Arabidopsis thaliana: one gene and its partner. The protein of the gene in region 1 interacts with the protein of each later gene in a pairwise test. Each region holds a gene or a part of one and is shown in the gene's direction. Other genes may lie near its edges. The genes, in order: PERK15 and DWF1.

What was found.
Region 2: the proteins of PERK15 (region 1) and DWF1 interact in a protein complementation assay, tested with the Arabidopsis thaliana proteins (one large-scale study listed by BioGRID).

Annotation. Positions count from the first base shown.
Region 1 is NC_003070.9:19,470,365-19,474,294, reverse strand, and holds the start of PERK15 (Protein kinase superfamily protein), read left to right. Parts: upstream 1-1,712; 5' UTR 1,713-1,932; coding exon 1,933-2,269; intron 2,270-2,346; coding exon 2,347-2,697; intron 2,698-2,782; coding exon 2,783-2,869; intron 2,870-2,951; coding exon 2,952-3,022; intron 3,023-3,099; coding exon 3,100-3,176; intron 3,177-3,265; coding exon 3,266-3,416; coding exon of another isoform or gene 3,417-3,481; coding exon 3,482-3,643; intron 3,644-3,750; coding exon 3,751-3,930.
Region 2 is NC_003074.8:6,880,557-6,884,486, reverse strand, and holds the start of DWF1 (cell elongation protein / DWARF1 / DIMINUTO (DIM)), read left to right. Parts: upstream 1-2,171; 5' UTR 2,172-2,275; exon of another isoform or gene 2,276-2,858; 5' UTR 2,859-2,870; coding exon 2,871-3,930. UniProt on the Arabidopsis thaliana protein: Plays a critical role in the general process of plant cell elongation. Involved in the synthesis of campesterol, an early precursor of brassinolide.

The DNA of each region.
Region 1 (3,930 bases):
CGAATTGTAGAATAAGCGGATTAAATAATAGGGTGTGATTAGTTTTGAACAAGCGAAGTAGAATAATGTATAAAAGGTAAGAGTAGTTTTGAAAATGGATATTCTAAAAATGAAATTTCTCAAATATTCTACAAAAACTTATGTAAAAAATGTTTTTTTAACACTGGATGACAATTCTTTGAACCACACCACACCTAATTTTTTTTTTCTTCCTCGTTTTGAACGTAACAAAAATTATTTTGCATAACTCAACCTATAAAGAACCAACAAAAACAACCATTGTGTGAAACCCAAGAAAAAAAAAAATGCATTTCTTTGTTGACTCTTGGTTATCACAAAATGGTTCGTGTTGTTTGCTGTTTTGCAATTTACTATTGAGCTGTGACTTGAAATTTGATATGGTTTAATTCGAAGTTGTTTTGGTTTCTATTCGTACCAAAGACAAATACGATTATTTTTCCCAATTAACCTTATCATTAAAATGATCTTGAGATTGCATTGCCAAATCTATATAAATTTTTTTGATGCATAACAAAGCAATGGATTTCCATTATTAGTAATCCTTGATTCACAGATTTTGTCTTGAAAACATTGTTGGATGAGATTTCGTTTTGTGTTTTTCCTTGTGAAAACGTAATTGTTTTCGGTTATTATATTTCTTCTGTCAAATATATATGGTTCCTGATAATTGCTTCCATTGATTACCTACTTGTCGTCCGTACCCTACCACATTAATTGTTTTTCTTTTTATTATGTAAATGATTAACATAAAAAAAACTCCGGAAGCATAGGATTGGTTAATAAACCGGGTATCTGGCTGGCTTCACCGCGTACAATTTATTGAGCAAACAAAAAATAGAAGGAGAATGCATATACCAAGATACAATACTTGGAAAATGATGTGGAATTAGTTGTTCAAAGAATTCAATAATTCTCAACTTGATGGGTACCTTAGGGAGAGATACAATCCACAAACCAAAGATCACGGTAAATAGTAGTACTAGTATGTTTTTTCATATCTTTTGTTGGTCCCTTTGATTCTTTTTTACTTTTAAAGACAAAAAAATTAATGGCAGACAAGACAATGTGAATATACTTATGTAGTCGTGCTTGTTTTTATACAGTAGTAAGTATAAATTTGATTAGATAATTTTACTATATACATTATAATATTAATTTTACAAAATAAATTTGATTTATAGTTTTAAAAAAATTTTAGTTATAAAAACACCATAAAAATTAGATCTAAAAATTATTTTCATGAAATCGGATTTTTCCGAAACAATTTTACTGTGGATTAGAAAGTCGGAATTTGATTCCATCGATTTTTTATTTTTTTATTTTTTGCAAAAAAATCCGATCGAATTGAATATTTACTAGACTAATTTTTTTTGGCTGGACTAGTTTTTCTCTAAAATTAGTCAAACTTGAAAATATAGGCTAGTTTAGTCCGTATAAAATAAGTTCTAATTTGACATATTGTATCGAGTCATCCAAAATCATATAAAAAATTGTGTATAAAAATTTTAAAATTTTTTTTTTAAAAAAAAAAAGCAAAAAAGTTGACTTATATGGTAAATTTTTCTTAAAGATTCTAAAAATCATTAGTAAATTTTATTATTTTAAAAATGTTGACTTAATGATTATATTTTTAAATAAAAAACATAAGATGAATTTGGCTCTTTATTAGTTCTTCTTTTGATGGTTGGTAAGTGTTAACTGACTAACTGAGAAACAGAGTGACGAGAGAATTAAAGAGACACTTGCCAGAAGAACAAATCTCTCAAGTGGGACGGGACCCACCGCATGTCCCTTTCTTCATTCTCCTTCGTCTTCGTCTTCTTCGTCTTCGTCTTCGTCTTCACTTCCGCCATGAGAAAAACCTGCACACACGCCTGAAAAACCAAATCATCCTCATCATCTTCTGATCTAATGTCTACCGACACTATCCCTTCCCTCTCATCTCCACCGGCGCCGGAGTTTCCTTCCACCACACCAGACACGGCGACGTCACCAGCTCCGTCTCAGCCATCCATCATCGGACCTTCTTCGTTGGCTCCGTTTCCGGAGACAACAACAAACATTGATGGAGGCTCGAGAAATGTAGCATTAACTGGACTTATTACTGGAGTAGTTCTCGGAGCTACGTTTGTCCTACTCGGAGTTTGTATCTTTGTCTGTTTCTATAAAAGAAAGAAGAGGAAGTTAAAGAAGAAGAAGAAAGAAGATATCGAAGCTTCTATTAACAGAGACTCACTAGATCCCAAAGGTACTTTATTTAGGGTTTCTTTATTTCCAAAGACTCAATCTTTTTTTAATGATTATTCAATTCCTCTGTTTTTGTAGATGATAGCAATAATCTTCAGCAATGGAGTTCATCAGAGATTGGACAAAACTTGTTTACATATGAAGATTTGTCTAAAGCAACTAGTAACTTCTCCAACACTAACCTTCTTGGACAAGGTGGGTTTGGTTATGTTCATAGAGGAGTTCTTGTTGATGGAACTTTGGTTGCTATTAAGCAGCTTAAATCTGGAAGTGGACAAGGTGAACGAGAGTTTCAAGCTGAGATACAGACTATTAGTAGAGTTCATCATAGGCATCTTGTTTCTCTTCTTGGTTATTGTATCACTGGTGCTCAAAGATTGCTTGTTTATGAGTTTGTGCCTAATAAGACTCTCGAATTTCATTTACACGGTGAGTTTTTTTTAAAAGACTTGTTTTCAGTTATGCTTGCGTGAATTCCCGCAGTTTTGTTTGAATTATGGTGGTTGTTTTGTAGAGAAAGAGAGACCGGTAATGGAGTGGTCAAAGAGGATGAAGATTGCTTTGGGTGCAGCTAAAGGATTGGCATACTTACATGAAGATTGTGAGTATAATGTTCTTGTCTTTGAGTATTGTACAACATTAGTTTCTGAAGTTTTTGTCAAGGAGATTTTGTTTTGTTTCAGGTAATCCTAAGACAATACACCGCGATGTCAAGGCTGCAAATATTCTAATTGACGATAGCTATGAGGCGAAGGTATTCTTGAACTTGTAAAACTATATAAAAATGTTGTTTAGACTGCACTACTAATAATGCTGAACTTGGTTCATCAGTTAGCAGATTTTGGACTTGCCAGGTCTTCTTTAGACACTGATACTCATGTCTCCACTCGGATTATGGGAACCTTCGGGTACGAAACACTCTTTTCTATACGCAACCATAACCATAATAAGTTCATAACATACTAACAATCTTTTAAACTTCTTTCTTGTGATGCAGTTACTTGGCTCCTGAATATGCTTCTTCAGGGAAACTTACTGAGAAATCAGATGTCTTCTCAATTGGAGTGGTGCTTCTTGAACTGATAACCGGACGCCGTCCTGTTGATAAATCACAGCCTTTTGCTGATGATGATAGCATCGTTGATTGGGTTGGTTATCTTGTTTCCCTTACCACCACTTTTAATAAGCTTTTAAACTTTACCTCATGCTCTAGGCAAAACCTCTGATGATACAAGCGTTAAACGATGGAAACTTTGACGGTCTTGTTGACCCGCGGTTAGAGAATGATTTTGATATCAACGAAATGACGAGAATGGTTGCTTGCGCTGCTGCTAGTGTCCGTCATTCAGCTAAACGTCGCCCAAAAATGAGCCAGGTACTAACTATCACATCAAAACCTTTTGGCAACATTCAATCTAACACTAGGATAAAAAATGAAACTTTGTGAGTTCAATGGTGTCATTGTTCTTTGGACAATTGCAGATAGTTCGAGCATTCGAAGGAAATATATCTATAGATGACCTAACAGAAGGAGCTGCCCCAGGACAAAGTACTATTTACAGCTTAGACGGGAGCTCAGATTATAGCTCAACACAATACAAAGAAGACTTGAAGAAATTCAAGAAAATGGCGTTCGAAAGCAAAACATTTGGTAGCAGCGAA
Region 2 (3,930 bases), on another chromosome or scaffold:
AATAAAAAGGGATTAATAAGAAGTGAGAAAAAATGGAGAATTAGTAATAAAATTACAAAAAATGAGGAAGAGAAATCACGTGAAGGAGTTGAGATCACGTCAGGCACATGTGGGGAGTAGGACAGTCCTCGTTTATAGATTTGTTATCTTCAACTCTCCTCTCTTCGGTTTCTCCGTTCTCTTTTGTCTTTTTCTTTCACCTTTTTTTTTTTTTTTAATTTTTTTACTTCAAGAGAAGTGTTTAGTCATAATACGCTTCAATCTTAACAAATCATAATTTATGTGGGTTGTTGTCTCTGGCTTCTTCACACTTTTTTAGGTACTAATGGAATGGACAAAGACGGTTTTTGTTGATGCAGAAATGACGCATGGGTTTATTTGGCGTTGGACCAAAGAGTAATGTCTTTGTATTTGGATATATATATAAACAAATTGGTGTTTCTTGTAATGTAAACATTGGTGTGATTACACGACCTTGTAACGGTTTAAAACTTTGTCAAGCGTCAACCAAATTTTCACTGACGTCAAACTGTCAATGTCAAAAGGTGTGATTCGCCAAATAGACATTTATTTTTCCATACTACAAAAAAATGATTTGTAGCTGTAAATGTGAGTAAGAAATTAGTTGGCATATTTTAAAGAGTAAATATATTTTATGAGAGATTTTGCAAGAGCTGGATATTTTCTCAGACAGGCCATCATCCCTGTAATTTTTTTTTTCTTTCTATGTCAAATAAATAAATAATTACTTTTTGGCGACAAAAAAAACTTTTTGAGCACTTCATTACTTTAAAGTGTAACCATTTTTCTAAATAAATCATGATTTTATTTGCTTTTCTAAATCAACTATTAAAATACTTAGGTGGAAATCAAATAATTGGTTACAGTAACAGAATTATATATTGAGAGCCTTTTTCACCAAATAACGTGATAGTTTGTGTGTTTATTACTGTATTATGTAGGCACTGATAATGATACAAATGATTTCATATATGAATTTTGATGAAAAGCATGGCTATTGGGATTTGGGAAAACATTTCTCATCACAGCCGTAGTTTTTTTTTTTATATAAATAAGAGGCATTTTATATAAAATTTTTTACTACACATTAGTTTCTAAAATACTACATTGTAATCTGAATAAGATGAAAGTGAATGACTAATTCACAATTGTTTTGGCTTAAAAAAAACACTCATTTGAAGATCCCTTAAGAGTTGAGAGAAAGATATAAGGAACTCTCATTAGCATTCATAATGTATAATGTTTTCAAGATATTTTAGGCAGTGCTTTTTTTGCTTCAATCATAACATATCAAAACTAAATGTTAAAGATTGTTGTAATAACTATTATGATAAGAAAAGTTGTAATGAACTTTTTGCCAATAAACAATATATAAGATCGTCGGCTTAGTAACCTCACGAGGATGGAATGTGCTTTAGGTACATCAACAAACATGTAGGAGGACTGTTTCGCTAAAAGCATTTAGAAAACAAAAATCAATACAATCAACCCATAAAATGCATTTAAAAAAAAAACGAATTGGACAATTACATTTCCTTCATTGGGCACATGTCTTCCTGTAATTTATTGTGATTTACATACCAAAAGAAAGATATATTTTTCTATTTAAAAGAAATTTAAACTGCTAAGATTTGTTGCCTTTTTTTATTTATTTGCTTTTACCTATTTATAGCAGTAAACTCTTTTCAGAAAAAATATCCCTACAAAGAATTTGTCCTCATATTCCTTTTATATGCTAACTGCTAAGTAAGAAATTATATTTTGGAAGATATGTCTAATTAAGCTCTAGGTTCGATTTACATATAATTTCTAAATGTTAAAAGAGTTGGTAAAAATATATTAAATACTGATATAAGTAAAAACAATTTATTTTTATTTTCTTACATCAGAATTATAAACTAAAAAATTGCTCATAAATATAACACATGTGATTTATCAACATTACAACTAACATCGAATTTTTAATTGCGATAACAACAAAGAAACTTAGAAATATGAAAAACCACTTATACAAACCCATGAAAAATATACATTATATATTTCTTAATTTCTATATTTTTGCGTTATTATTACCTTTTTTATTTTAAAATTATATAAAAAAATGGGAAATAAAAAATACCTTGTTTTGAGCGAAAAATGCAAGTGAAGCAGGCTGGCTTGAATCACGTTTTATTATAAAGACAAATGCTCTCACACTCTTGGGGACACTTTCACATCTCATCCTCTCACTCTCTCTCTCCTTTGGATTCTTCAGGTACTCTCTCTACCTCTCTTTCTCTCTCTGTCTCAGTCGCTGACTTATCATTTCCTGTCGTTAGATCTCTCAGTACTTGGTTCATAGTTGTTTCATAGCACGCACTAGTGAACTATGTGGGTTTTTTAATTTTAATCATCTCAGTCTTGGAGAATTTCAAACAAAGTTTCAAACTTTGCTCACCAACTTTTATTTATTTATTTTGGTGGTAGAAAACAGACTTTGATGGCTTTGTAGGAATACTAGATGTGTAGATCTAAAGATTATAACCATTTTCTGTGTTCTTGTTCTTTCAGAACATAACTTCATGTCTTTTTGTCTCTCTGTTCACTAGCTCTCTGTTTCCATGGACTCCACACTATCTTCTTCTTACAGATTTATTTCATACACATACACTGATACACATGTGTGTATACGTATGTGTTTATGTGTGCTTATTATACTCTTTTTGGATTCAAGAAACTAATCTTTAGTATTTTTGACATTCTGGTAGATTTATGCTCACTTCTTAGGCCTTGTTGACTTTTACAGTGATGGATTTTGAAACTCTGGTTGATTTGATTTTCTTTTTGGTTTGATGCAGTGAGGAGAGGAAATGTCGGATCTTCAGACACCGCTTGTGAGGCCCAAGAGGAAGAAGACTTGGGTTGATTACTTTGTCAAGTTCAGATGGATCATTGTCATCTTCATCGTCCTTCCATTCTCAGCCACATTCTACTTCCTCATCTACCTCGGGGACATGTGGTCAGAGTCCAAGTCCTTTGAGAAACGTCAGAAGGAACACGACGAGAATGTCAAGAAAGTCATCAAAAGGCTTAAGGGTAGGGATGCTTCCAAGGACGGGCTTGTCTGCACTGCTCGTAAGCCCTGGATCGCTGTTGGAATGAGGAACGTTGACTACAAGAGAGCCCGGCATTTCGAGGTTGACTTGGGGGAGTTCCGTAACATCCTTGAGATCAACAAGGAGAAGATGACTGCTAGAGTGGAGCCTCTTGTTAACATGGGACAGATTTCCCGTGCTACCGTCCCAATGAACCTGTCTCTCGCTGTTGTTGCTGAGCTTGATGACCTTACCGTTGGTGGACTTATCAATGGATATGGTATTGAAGGAAGCTCTCACATCTACGGTTTGTTTGCTGATACCGTTGAGGCTTACGAGATTGTTCTTGCGGGTGGAGAGCTTGTCCGCGCCACAAGGGATAATGAGTATTCTGATCTTTACTACGCAATCCCGTGGTCGCAAGGAACTCTTGGACTCCTTGTAGCTGCTGAGATCAGGCTTATTAAAGTCAAGGAGTACATGAGACTCACTTACATACCAGTCAAGGGTGATCTTCAAGCCTTAGCTCAAGGTTACATTGATTCTTTTGCTCCCAAAGACGGTGACAAGTCGAAAATCCCGGATTTCGTCGAAGGCATGGTTTACAATCCAACGGAAGGAGTGATGATGGTTGGAACATATGCATCTAAAGAAGAGGCAAAGAAGAAAGGGAACAAAATCAACAATGTGGGATGGTGGTTCAAGCCGTGGTTCTACCAGCACGCGCAGACCGCCCTGAAAAAGGGACAGTTTGTTGAGTACATCCCAACTCGTGAATACTACCACAGGCACACAAGGTGCTTGTACTGGGAAGGGAAGCTTATTCTTCCATTTG